3 linked regions of the Callithrix jacchus genome follow. The protein of the gene in region 3 interacts with the protein of the main gene of each other region in a pairwise test. Links are inferred from orthologs where the notes say so. Each region holds a gene or a part of one and is shown on either strand. Other genes may lie near its edges.

Region 1 (3,628 bases), on a different chromosome or scaffold from region 3:
AAGTGGCCCATAAACTGTTGCATTTTAAGTTCCTTAGAATAGTCTCCATTTGAAAGGCTCCTGTTAAGTGAATATTAATGTTTGCAAGTGACAAATTACTCTCTAATCCCCTTGTTTGATAAATCAAGTGAGGCATACTTGGATTGACATTTGCACTAAATGAATACAAATTTTCATAAGTAAATGTCTTTAGAGTTAAATAATGAACTAGGAGAAGAAGGCTGAAATAAAGCCTGTGGTCTGTGTACAACAACCAAAGGCCTGGGGCCCAAGAAGTTTTTTTTTTTTTTTTGGTCTGGATAAGAGCTGGGTCTTTATTTTTCAGAGAGCAGAGGTATACTTGATAGGCCAGGATACTCAAAGTGTGGACGATTAGGGGTGGAAGCTTTCCCAGGCTGCTCCCAGCAACTACTGGTATAGCCTGCCGGGGATGCAGCTGCCTGCTCACTCTCTTCGGCACGTCTGGGTTTCACTCTCTCCAAACCATTTTGTATGCCATTGCCAGACTCATCTCCCCAAAGCAATGCTTTGAGATGCACTCCTCTGCTCACATTTGCTTGAAATGTGAGGCCCCTCTGGGACACTGGGCCAGCCTCACCACACCAAATCCTTAAGACTGGGAAATGGATTCTCCTCTTCAGCCAAATGGGCCTCACCTCAGTCCCTGGTCACCCAATCCCATCTGGTTCAGAAGGCCCTTCTTTCATTCTACAGAGTGAAATCTCTGTTTCTAAATCTCTTTAAAACTTCTTTGGAATAGTTAGCTGTCTGTGATCGCCCCAAAGCAATCTCCTCCTCCTCTGACCCTTAGCGCTCTTCCCATCTATACTTTTCCTTGGGAGCCCAGCTATCACACCCTTGAACTTTTACTTAGCTTTGCATCTCTGAGTGCTACATATTCCTCACCTGGGATCTGAGCAATTTGAGGATAGTGTGTGTCTTGGAGCAGAAAGAAGAAAGAATTCACTGTTATTGAATTCGCTGTTTTAGGCACTTTACGTACTTATCTAATTCTTACAATTCAGAGATGAAAATTGTTATTTCCATTTAGCTAATGAGGAAAGTGATATTCAAAGAGGTTGTTACTTATCCAGAGTCACAGCCTAATAGGAGGCCGATCTAGGAACAGAACCTGTGTTTAACTCCAAAGCCTATGAATAGCTTCTGGATTCTGCTGTCGAAGCTTGCTAGCTTTACAATCTTTATACCTTTGGACAAATGGCTTAACCTCTCTATACTTCATCTGTAAAATGAGATTAAATAGTGTCTCCCTCGTAGGTCATTGTGAAGATCACATAGGATTCTTAGTGCAGTGCCTTTCATGTAGTAACTGCAATATATATTAGCTGCTAAAATTTTTGTTCTACTACTACGACCACCATTATATCCACAGCTACTACTGCTGCCGTTACTAGTGCCACAAATACTGTTGTCATGACAAGCACGCTGTCATCACAGCCCCAATCAGGGTGTCCTCTGTGCAGCGGTGCTCATCCAGTGCCTACTGCCAGGCTGGGGCAGACTTTCAGGTGGTCGGCAGTGTGTGTTTCCAGAAAAGTCCACCTGATGCCTTTGCGCCATCCCTGGCAAATGCCTACCTGTGCCAGTCACACTTGTTTTCACTCCACATTCATGCAAGCTGTCCCACCCACTGTCTTTCCAGTTTGCTCTGAAAACGAGTCTGAAGCCGAAGCTGACCAGCAGATGGACAACTTGTACCTGAAAGCTTTGGAGGGTTTCATTGCTGTGGTGACCCAAGATGGTGACATGATCTTTCTGTCAGAAAACATCAGCAAGTTCATGGGACTCACACAGGTGACACCCTCCTCTGTCTCTTTCAAAAGGAGAAATGTTTCCATTCGGGGACAGAAATGAGTGTAAGGTGCTAGCCACAATCCCACTTGACCTCTCCCTGCAAAGGCCACTGCCACCCTCGCTGACCTCAGGCCACACTGCCATCCGCAAGCCCTGGGTTTGGCTTTGCTAATGTCCAGCCTGGTGGACAGCTCTCTACTGACTAATTAATAGACCTGTCATCATCAGTAGGTCCCTATTACATCTTTCTGTCTGTGGACCTAACACTGGACTGAGATTATGAGAAAACCTGATTCAGTCTCCTCCCTGCCTCCATATTTGGAAGGTGGCTCAGCCTTCTCTTGGAGTCTTTTACTTCACTGTTAGGAATAATGCAGCCTAACCTTGTTTTTGAAACAGGTGGAGCTAACAGGACATAGCATCTTCGACTTCACTCATCCCTGTGACCATGAGGAGATTCGTGAGAACCTGAGTCTCAAAAACGGTATCCTTGATTGTGTGTTTACTTCCTTCTTGCCCCCACTGGGTGGGAATCTGCCTCCACTTTGTCTATAAGGGAGACAGCTCATGGCCCTTGTGATGCAGGAAAAATGGATGTCCTTAAAAAAATTAGCTAAGCTGGCCCTCTGTTTAAGCGTGTAACCTGTGAGATGAGATTGGGGCATTGAGAGGACCCAGTACTCAGAAATATCTCCTGCTGGTCCCGCATGATGCTGGTGTCCCACTACTAGGGGACTCCTTTGGGTTAGGATACTGTTTCTAGGACATTTCATCACCCAAGAGTCAAGCGTCTCTGCCAAATGATACCACCCAAACCAATGACAAACTAGTCTGTGCCAAAGTGCTCATAGGAATGCCTGCAGTTATCTACTGCTGTGTAACAAACTACCTGAAACACAGGGCTTTGATGATTATCTCCAGGGTCCTGTGGGTTTAATGGGTGGCTCTTGTGCTCCACGTGATGTCAGCTGGGCTACAGTCACCTGGGGGTCAGAATAGCCTGGGGTGATCAGATGGCTCACACACGACTGGGACTTTATGGCAGGTGGCTAGAATGGGCTTAGTTGGGATGCTGGGACAACTGGACTGTTTTCTCACTCCATGGAGTCATAGAGACTCTCTCCATATGGTGTCTCTAGGGTAGCCAGACCTCTCATGTGGCAGCTCCGGGCTCCAAGAAGCACTAAAGTGGAAGTTGCCAGGCCTTCCCAAGGCTTTGTGCCCAAATTGGCAGAGCATCACTTCCGCCCCATCTTGTTGGTTAGAGCACGCTACAGGCCGGCCCTGGTTCAGTGTGGGAGGAAACTACACAAGGCCATGTCGAAAGGCATGGCTCGTTGGAGCCACTTTCAGAGATGAGCTAGTGCAGGAAATGGTGCCCTGAGGAGACATAGGTCAGGTAGGTTTTGACAGAGAAGAGATTTAAAAAGATCCGGTGTACAGGACCTTACTCATGGGGATACCCAGCAGGTGCCAGTGGATGAGAGGACCCACACAGGCTGCAAGCACATTGCAGTGACAGTGGAGCTTCCTCTCCTATAACTGGCCATTCAACAAAAGCATGAATGGAGACATTGTTAAGAGGACTGAAGCTTTGGGCAGCAGAGTAGGGCTCAATGACTGTCAAGGTCCCTTCTAAACCTGTGGTCTGTCACTGGTCTGGGCAGATTCTGTGCATGCCTAGATGTCTTCTTTAACATCCTTACCTGTCACTGCCATGGGACTTGTGCTTGTCCAACCTAACAGAGGCAGTGAGACTAAGCCTACAAGGTTTGGCTCTTGTTACCACACACACTGCAAAAGCAGACACTTC
Region 2 (3,628 bases), on a different chromosome or scaffold from region 3:
CAAAAAAGGGGGAGTAATTCCAAAAGTGACACTCTTACTTGTAGCCTAACTTCCCAACTTGTAATATATGACTCTGTACTCATTCAGTGCCTCAAACACATTAAAAATACCACAGACCGTCTCTACTAAAAATAGAAAAATTAGCTGGGCATGGTGGCGCATGCCTGTAGTCCCAGCTACTCGGGAGGCTGAGGCAGGAGAATTGCTTGAACCCAGGAGGCGGAGGTTACAGTGAGCCGAAATCACGCCATTGCACTCCAGCCTGAGTAACAAGAGTGAAACTCCGTCTCAAAAAAAAAAATACCACAGAGAAGTAGTATTTTTCTTCAACTTCTTTGCCTTGTTTGGCATTAAATATACCCTAACTTAGCAGTATCTTGATCTTAAGGAATGATCATTAATAATAGGTTAAAAACAGTATTTTTTAAAAATAGCTCTACATATATAACTATGATAAGAGATACATACTTTCTATGTTACTAGTTCTTTAATCTCAAGATTCTAAAGCATTTCTTAACATGTTATAGGGATATTTTCATGAAATAAAAAATATATACTGTCAAAAATGTTAGCAAGTATTCATATCTCACATTTTATTCACTAATAAAGCCAAATGTTTTGCCTCTTAGTTCTGTGATTTTACTTCCTGTTGTCCTGCCTTCTGTGTTTACTATTTTCTTTTTGTATTTGATAGAAATCCTTTAAGTGATAGCAATATAATGCTTACCCAAAGGAACAAATAACTTTAGTTATAAAAAAATACATTTGTATTACATAAACGTAACTTTATTTTTATTTTTTGAGACAAGGTCTCACCCTGTCACCCAGGCTGGAGTGCAGTGGTGCAATATCAGCTCACTGCAACCTCTGCTTGCTGGGCTCAGGTGATCCTCCTGCCTCAGCCTCCCAAGTAGCTAGGACTACAGGTGCACGCCACCAAACCTGGCTAATTTTTATATTTTTAGTGGAGACAGCGTTTTGCCATGTTGATCAGGCTGGTGTCAAACTCCTGGACTCAACCATTCTACCCGCCTCAGGCTCCCAAAGTCCTGGGATTACAGCTGTGAACAGCCATGCCCGCCATAAATATAACATTTTGACTAGTACAAAAAAATAAAGCCTTGAGGGAGTTGAGGTACTAAATTTTTAATATTTTCTCAAACCTAGTATAATTTAATATATGTTATGGTCTGATTATTGTTAATTTCTGAAGTCAAGAGTTGTCTGCTTTGAAATGTAATGCAGTATCCCAAATACAAACTATTGAAGAGAGAGTTAAAAAGCTTTGGATGGGAAGGACATTTCTCACTTTTACATACAGTTCGCTGTAAGAGGCTACTTTAAGACAGATTTCCAGTAAAGTGAAATTCTGCTCTTATACTATATCATACACTGAAAATTCGTGGGACTAATTAAAGAGCCTGTATAGACTTAAGAGATGAATCACCAAATGTGGCTAAATTATAAGCAGAAGAAAATAGGAGCTGCTCATGACTCAAGTAAAACAGAGAAATAAGTAAGATTGAAAACATAATTTTGTTTTCATTCCTGTATGCATTTATTTACTCATTCGTACTTGTGTAGTCTTTGAAAGTTCATGTTCTGTTAAATGAAAGTTGCCAGGTGGAAGTCCAAAGAAAAAAAAAAAGGTCATGTTCTATATGTGTCTGAGGATAGCTTCCATTGAAGTGAAAATATTATTATTGGTTATCTGTCAGATTTTTATAACTTTGGGTACTTCTACTCATGTACATATAGAGGACATTCTAGGGATGACAGAAATTGATAGGAATTAACTCCAGGTGCAGACTCCTTTTTCCTTTGTTGAGGGGTAAAAATGAAGCTAAGAAGTTAAATAAGGCTGGGCATGGTGGCTTGTAGGAGGACTGTCTGAGCCCAGGAGTTCAACACCAGACTGGGCAACATCATGAGACCCCATCTCTTAAAAAAAAAAAAAAAAATAGCTGGGCATGGTGGGACATGCCTGTAGTCCCAGCCACTTGGGAGGCTGAAGTGGGAGGAATGCTTGAGCCTGGGTGGTTGAGGCTGCAGTGAGCCATGATCATATCACTGCATTCCAGCCTGGGTGACGCTGTCTCCAACAAAAAAAAAAAAAAAAAAAAAAAAAAAGGTTAAATAATTTTTTCCAGTAATTGGTAACCACAATATGAGCTCAGGTCTCGTAAATCCAGGGTGTGTGTGTATCAGTCCAGATCCAGTGAGAAACCAGAAGCATACCAGAAATTTGAATAGGAATAATATAAAAAAATTATTAACTGGCAACAGGGATTAACTCCTAAAAGAAGTAAAGAAAACTTAAAGAATACAGGAATAAGGCTGGGTATGGTGGCTCATGCCTATATTCTCAGAACTTTGAAAGGCCAAGGTAGGAGGACTGCTTGATCCAGTGAGTTCAAGACCAGCATGGGCAACATAGCAAATCCATATTTCTACAAAAAATATATATATTTAAATTTGTTAGGTGTGGTGATGCATGCTTATAGTCCCAGCCACTGAGGAGGCTGAAATGGGAGTATCTCTTGAACCCAGAAGGTCAAGGCTTGCAGTGAGCCATGATTTGCACAACTGCTCTCCAGCCTGGGTGACAGAGCAAGATGGTGTCTCAAAAAAAAGAATATGTAATTATCAGATGCAGAGAGCAGCCACTTAACTAAGACAGATGGAGAGTACCCAAGGAAGGAACATTCTTAGAAGACTCCCCATAAGCTCCTAACCTCTTCACCTCCTCTTCCCCCATGCCAAGCTGAGATGCAGATCTTCTTGGGGAAGATGTGGCTATAACAAGTGGATAATGGAGAAGTTCACTGACATGCCACAGATTAGAGCTAGAGAGCTGGAAACCAGGCTGGGGTACTGGTAAAGCTTGCAGGGAAGCTGCCCACTAGGATGTCATTGAGACTTGCTGGAAAGCCGCCAGCTAGGGAGCTAACAAGCCTAACTGGGAAGCTTCCCACTGGTACCCCAACACGAGAGCAAGAAGAAAAAGCACCAGAACCAGGAGTCCAGCACCTTTGTTTGCAGTATCCGTCCAGCACCATCTACTGACATGGATAACTTTGTGCCTGTTGGCAAAGGAGAAATATTTTTAAGGTCCAGGTCCAATATCACAAAGCAGAGCAAAGGTGGGTGGATTAGGAACTAAGAGGCTTAACTGGCATAACATTCTTAACTCATGTTACACTGCTTACTTTTCTCGTTGCACAATTATAAGGAGTAAGTAATTCTAAAATATGTTGTTATTTTTCCATATGTGGTACTTCAGTTTCAGTTTTCAGCTCAATTAGGAGCCATGCAGCATCTGAAAGACCAGCTGGAACAACGGACACGCATGATAGAAGCAAATATTCATCGGCAACAAGAAGAACTAAGGAAAATTCAAGAACAACTTCAGATGGTCCATGGTCAGGGGCTCCAGGTAATTGTTATATTTGAATACAAAGCAAGCATCCCATTCATATTTTGGATTTTTGGGAAAATTAACTTTTCTTAATTAAAAGTGAGATGCAAGAGATACATTTTATCAATTCTGTTCAATAAATATTCACTGGTTACCTACTCAGTATGATTATGTGTAAGGATTCAGTCAGGCTGGTGGGAGAAATTTTAG
Region 3 (4,391 bases):
GACAGCACAGTGTTCAGCAGCTGTCCCTTACCTCTAGCTGCATACAGTCCTAGTCCCCTGCTTAAGTCTGCAACAGTTTTCTCCTGTCATGCCTACTCGTCTTGGGAACATACTTCCAAACCCCTTGCCCAGACTCTAACAATGGCCCTAAGTACTGCCCTGAGGACACATAAGCTGCTGGTTAAGACGTTGGAATTGAGTCCTTGTAGGAAAATTATTATATGTAGGCTGGTTGCAAAGCTTGATTTTGTGTCTTCTCTATTGTGCCTTTCCTTTACTACTTCTACTAGGTTACCAAGCCTACTTGGGTCTAGGGACTGCAAGTTTCTTTAAACTGGCCACACCATAGACAATACCCTAAATCGAGCCATGGTGACCCTCATGATCCACACATACAGCTCTGGATGGCCTCCTGGAATCAGAAAATGTTTAGTAACTGGAAGACCATGAAAAGGGGAAGAATGATCCACCCCTGCAGCGCCTAATTAACTTGAGACATTCTTCTATTGTTCCTTATTCCTGCCTCAATTGATAAGGCAATTGGACTTTGTAGCCAAGCTTAGTCAACCTCGTGACTCCAGACCCAACGACCCCCTCCCAGCTTGCAAAAACCTCCCTAAACTGTAACTTCTGTAACTTTCCACTGCCTACCCTAAACCTATAAAAACAACTCTGATCCCACCACCCTGCACTGACTCTCTTTTCGACTCAGCCCACCTGCAGCCAGGTGAGTAGACAGCCATGTTTAGGGGGTCTCTTCATTCAGAGAGCGCTTAACAGGGAGCAGTGGGAGGGCAGCGAACCAGTGTATTCTAGACATTAGCCATAAGGATGTAGGGCTGTGAAGTGATCCCCAAAAGATTTTGTTTCTGGATTTACCCAACCATTCCAGGCGGCAAAACGGCTTCCTTGGGGACCCTCTCTCCATCCTCTACACCCTCGTCTCTGCAGCTAAGCCCTTCCTTAAGCAGAAAAGAGCAGGGTCTCTCGTCCAGCAACCCCTCCCCAACCCCGGCCCCGTGCCCTCCGCTAGCCCGCCGTGCAAGGATCTTCATTCACCCTTTACCTCTGCCCCGAAGGTCTACAACTGCAGTCTTCGGAACGCCGGGGCAAAGCCTACCAAGAGCATGGAAGCCTGTTTTCAATGGGCGGGTTGCTAGAAAGACTCAACTGGCCTTTTAGCGCCTTGCGGCTCGTGGGAGGGCTCGGCGGGGCGGTGTCCGCGGCGACTCCGCCCTTCGCCCGGGTCCCGTTCCCGCCGGGGAGCCCCGGGGCGCCCAGAACGGCGGGCGGCTGGCCCCAGTCCGCATGCTCAGTAACCGCGGCCGGCCGGGCTGCGGGGAGGCGTCGGCTGCGCGCCCAGGGGCTGCGGTGGCGGCCGCCGCGGCACCGGGCAGGGCCCGCCAGTCCCCGCTTCCCCGCTCTGGAGCCTCCGCCTGGGCCGGGGCAGGGCGGGCCCGGGGCTCCTCCATGTTGCCAGCCGCGGGGCTGCGGAGCCTGCGATGGCGGCGGAAGAGGAGGCTGCGGCGGGAGGTGAGGTTGCGGGCTGCGAGACGGCCGCCCCGGGTGGGCGCGCGGCGCCTGACGCTCTGGGAGCGCCGCTGGGACGCCAGGTCTGCCCGCTCTGCGCAGAGGGAAGCGCCCGCCCCTGTCCCCTCCGGCCCGGCGTCGCCTCCGAGGGGCGCTGGAACAAGGCCGCCCCGGGGGGCACAGGTGCGGCGCGGCCCCCAGCGCGTCCTCCGAGGGCGCGGGATGTGGGGAGGGGACCCGGGGTCGCCGCGGGCGCTCAGGACGCGGTGTCTGTCTGGGTCCCGAGCCAGCTGCATTGGCTAAAGGGAGCCGGCCACGGACCCTGCACCCTGGGATGGGATCAGCCGCCTCCGCCCACCGCTGGGCGCCCGCCTCGGCGTCGGCCAGGCTTGCACTGCCGCGGGGACTTTCTACGTCTCTTCTTTCTTTCGTGTAAAACAATTGTCAGCAGCCGTGGACGGAACCCGGGTCATGCGAACCACTCCCCTGTGAGCTGAAAACACTCGCGGCTTCCCTGCTTGAACCGCTGCCCCGCGGAGGAGCGCGCAGGCGGGCAGGTGCGCGTGGACTGGGGGCTACACTCCGGGACCGCGACAGCCCTCCGTCAGCGACACCTTCTACCACTGCAGCTTCAGGAAAGTCGTCAGTGGAGTTAGCTTGTTCGATGATATATTTCTGAGGTATTTTTGTGAACAGAGTAGGGAGTTTGCTGTGCTTTCTCCATCTCGCTAGTATTCACCGGCCGTATTCTGTGGTTTCTTACAACGGGGCCTTTGGGACCACTGCTCACAATTATGGAATGATTATAAAATAGCTGTTAAGACCAGTGGGAGGCAGGAAAACAGAAATAACAAAGGAAGATTGGCAGAGAAGTTCAGGGAAGCGGTTAATTTTCCCCTTTCCTTTTGGAATAAGGTGGTAGAGTTTTAGATACTTCTCGGAAATAAGGCCATGAGAGGAGGTGGCTTTCGAAATTCTAATATAATTGTGGGAATTTAGATCGTGGGAAGATTTGAGAAATACCGTCATTTGAATATGAGTAGTTTTAGGTAAACCCTTTGTTGAGAATAGAAGATGGCATGTCTGGTGTTAAGCTCTGACCCCCTTTTTGCTCTGTCTTGTGATTGAGTTCTGCCCTTTACTGTCTGTGTCACCCAGGTTATTTGAATTCCCTTAGTCTAAGTTCTCCCATCTGTAAAATAGAGATAACTATGCAGTCCACCTTATAGGATTGCTAGGATTAAATGAGATATGAATACAAATAAAATGCTTAGCCGGATGCTGAGGAAATAGTATTTCATAAAACATTAGCTTAATGTAGTTATTAATTTACAACTCCAATTTGCTTTGTGAAATTGGTGAGTCCTGTCTGGTCCATTAAGAAAGGGAAGGAGAGAGGAAGGGGAAGGGGAAAAGGATGGGGGAAAGAAAGAAGGAAGAAAATGCACCTACTAATTCAAAGAACAACTTTCCCCAGAGAATTCTTACGGACCTAGAACATACAAGCTTTTAGATAAAGTTTATTGTTATTTATCTAACTATTTTAGATTGCTCTTTGCATATCAAATGTAAAGTTGGGAATAATAACACTTGAATTTTCTTAGTTAAGGGTAGCAATGTTTCTGTGGAGGCTGGGAGAGCCTGAAGGTTTGATGAGTACCTAAGATGTCCCAGACATTTCACAAGGGGTGCTTCCTTTAGTCTTACAGAAGCTTTGTGATGTAGGTGGTATCTCCATTTCACAGATGAGAAAACTGAGGCTGGCTCACATTTATACAGCCAGGATGTGACACAACTAGTTAAAATCCATGGGGGTCAATGATACTGCTTTGGTTTCTTTCTCATCTGAGTTGGTGGTGCTAATGAGCAAGTGTGCTCACTTCCAGACACCTGTTTATCTAAAAGAAAATAAAATTCTCAATGGAAGGCTCTAGGAAAAATACAATGTATGTATATTTTTACTCTTTCTCCCTATCCCCAGAGGGAAAACATAAACAGGCCTCCCGGCCAGTTGGTGGCCCTCTACAAAACTGGGTCTAAGGTTTTTGTTTTAACAGTGCAAGCCAAACTGTGGGCTTCCCCATCCCATCTGTTTTAGACGGTAAACACCGAAATTGAGCATGCTGCCAAGTGACTGGGTCTCCTGATAAATGATTCCAGAATCCTTGGAGTTAGGAAGAGGGTGGTCTTGGGGAGCATCACATTTCCAAGACTGCTGGCCAGAGATGATCTGGGGTCAAGGCATTGGCAGGGCAGCTTTCTCCTCTTCCCTTTTCTTACCATTTCATGTTTTCGCCTATGATATTATAAGATCCAACTCTTTTATGTGTAGTTCTGCAATTATAGTGGTTTAAATTCATTTTGTGAGTCAGAAATCAAAAGTCATGTCCCAATCAATCTTTCATAAGCTGCTGTTCCTGGCATGGATCCTTGGGCAAAATTTTAGCCAGGAATGCTTGACTCAAGATAAACTAGGATGGGCTAATTAATATTTAAGGGGGAGGAAAAGAGAGAAGGGAAGCGAGAAAGATTGAGAGAGGAGGGAGAAGAAGGAAGGTGGGCAAGTGTGAAGTAAAGAGAGGAGAGGGAAAAGGAAGAAGGAGAGAGTGAAGGAAGGAGATGGAGGGGAGGGGAGGGGAGGGGAGGGACTGACACTCCATCAAAGTTTGACTCCAGGAAAAACAAAAACTAATGTTTAAAATGTATAGGGAAAGCCAAAATGTCAGTAGGATAAGAGTGATTTCAGTGTACTTTATCGTTGTGAAATGACTCCCTGGTTCTAAAAAGCATGGTGTTGTTCTGTGCTGTGGACACTGAGGTAGCATCCTTTTAAAATCCCTCTTTTTCGTGTTCAGAAAATC

The links.
Region 1: the proteins of BMAL2 (region 3) and EPAS1 interact in binary tests that used the Homo sapiens proteins (3 or more experiments, as listed by UniProt). The link is inferred for Callithrix jacchus from reciprocal best matches to the Homo sapiens genes BMAL2 and EPAS1.
Region 2: the proteins of BMAL2 (region 3) and CLOCK interact in binary tests that used the Homo sapiens proteins (3 or more experiments, as listed by UniProt). The link is inferred for Callithrix jacchus from reciprocal best matches to the Homo sapiens genes BMAL2 and CLOCK.

The regions. Positions count from the first base shown.
Region 1 is NC_133515.1:68,421,172-68,424,799, reverse strand, and holds part of EPAS1 (endothelial PAS domain-containing protein 1), read left to right. Parts: intron 1-1,663; coding exon 1,664-1,815; intron 1,816-2,214; coding exon 2,215-2,299; intron 2,300-3,628.
Region 2 is NC_133504.1:141,310,461-141,314,088, forward strand, and holds part of CLOCK (circadian locomoter output cycles protein kaput), read left to right. Parts: intron 1-3,283; coding exon 3,284-3,436; intron 3,437-3,628. UniProt on the Homo sapiens protein: Transcriptional activator which forms a core component of the circadian clock.
Region 3 is NC_133510.1:43,898,828-43,903,218, reverse strand, and holds the start of BMAL2 (basic helix-loop-helix ARNT-like protein 2), read left to right. Parts: upstream 1-1,487; 5' UTR 1,488-1,502; coding exon 1,503-1,713; intron 1,714-1,889; exon of another isoform or gene 1,890-2,210; intron 2,211-4,391. UniProt on the Homo sapiens protein: Transcriptional activator which forms a core component of the circadian clock.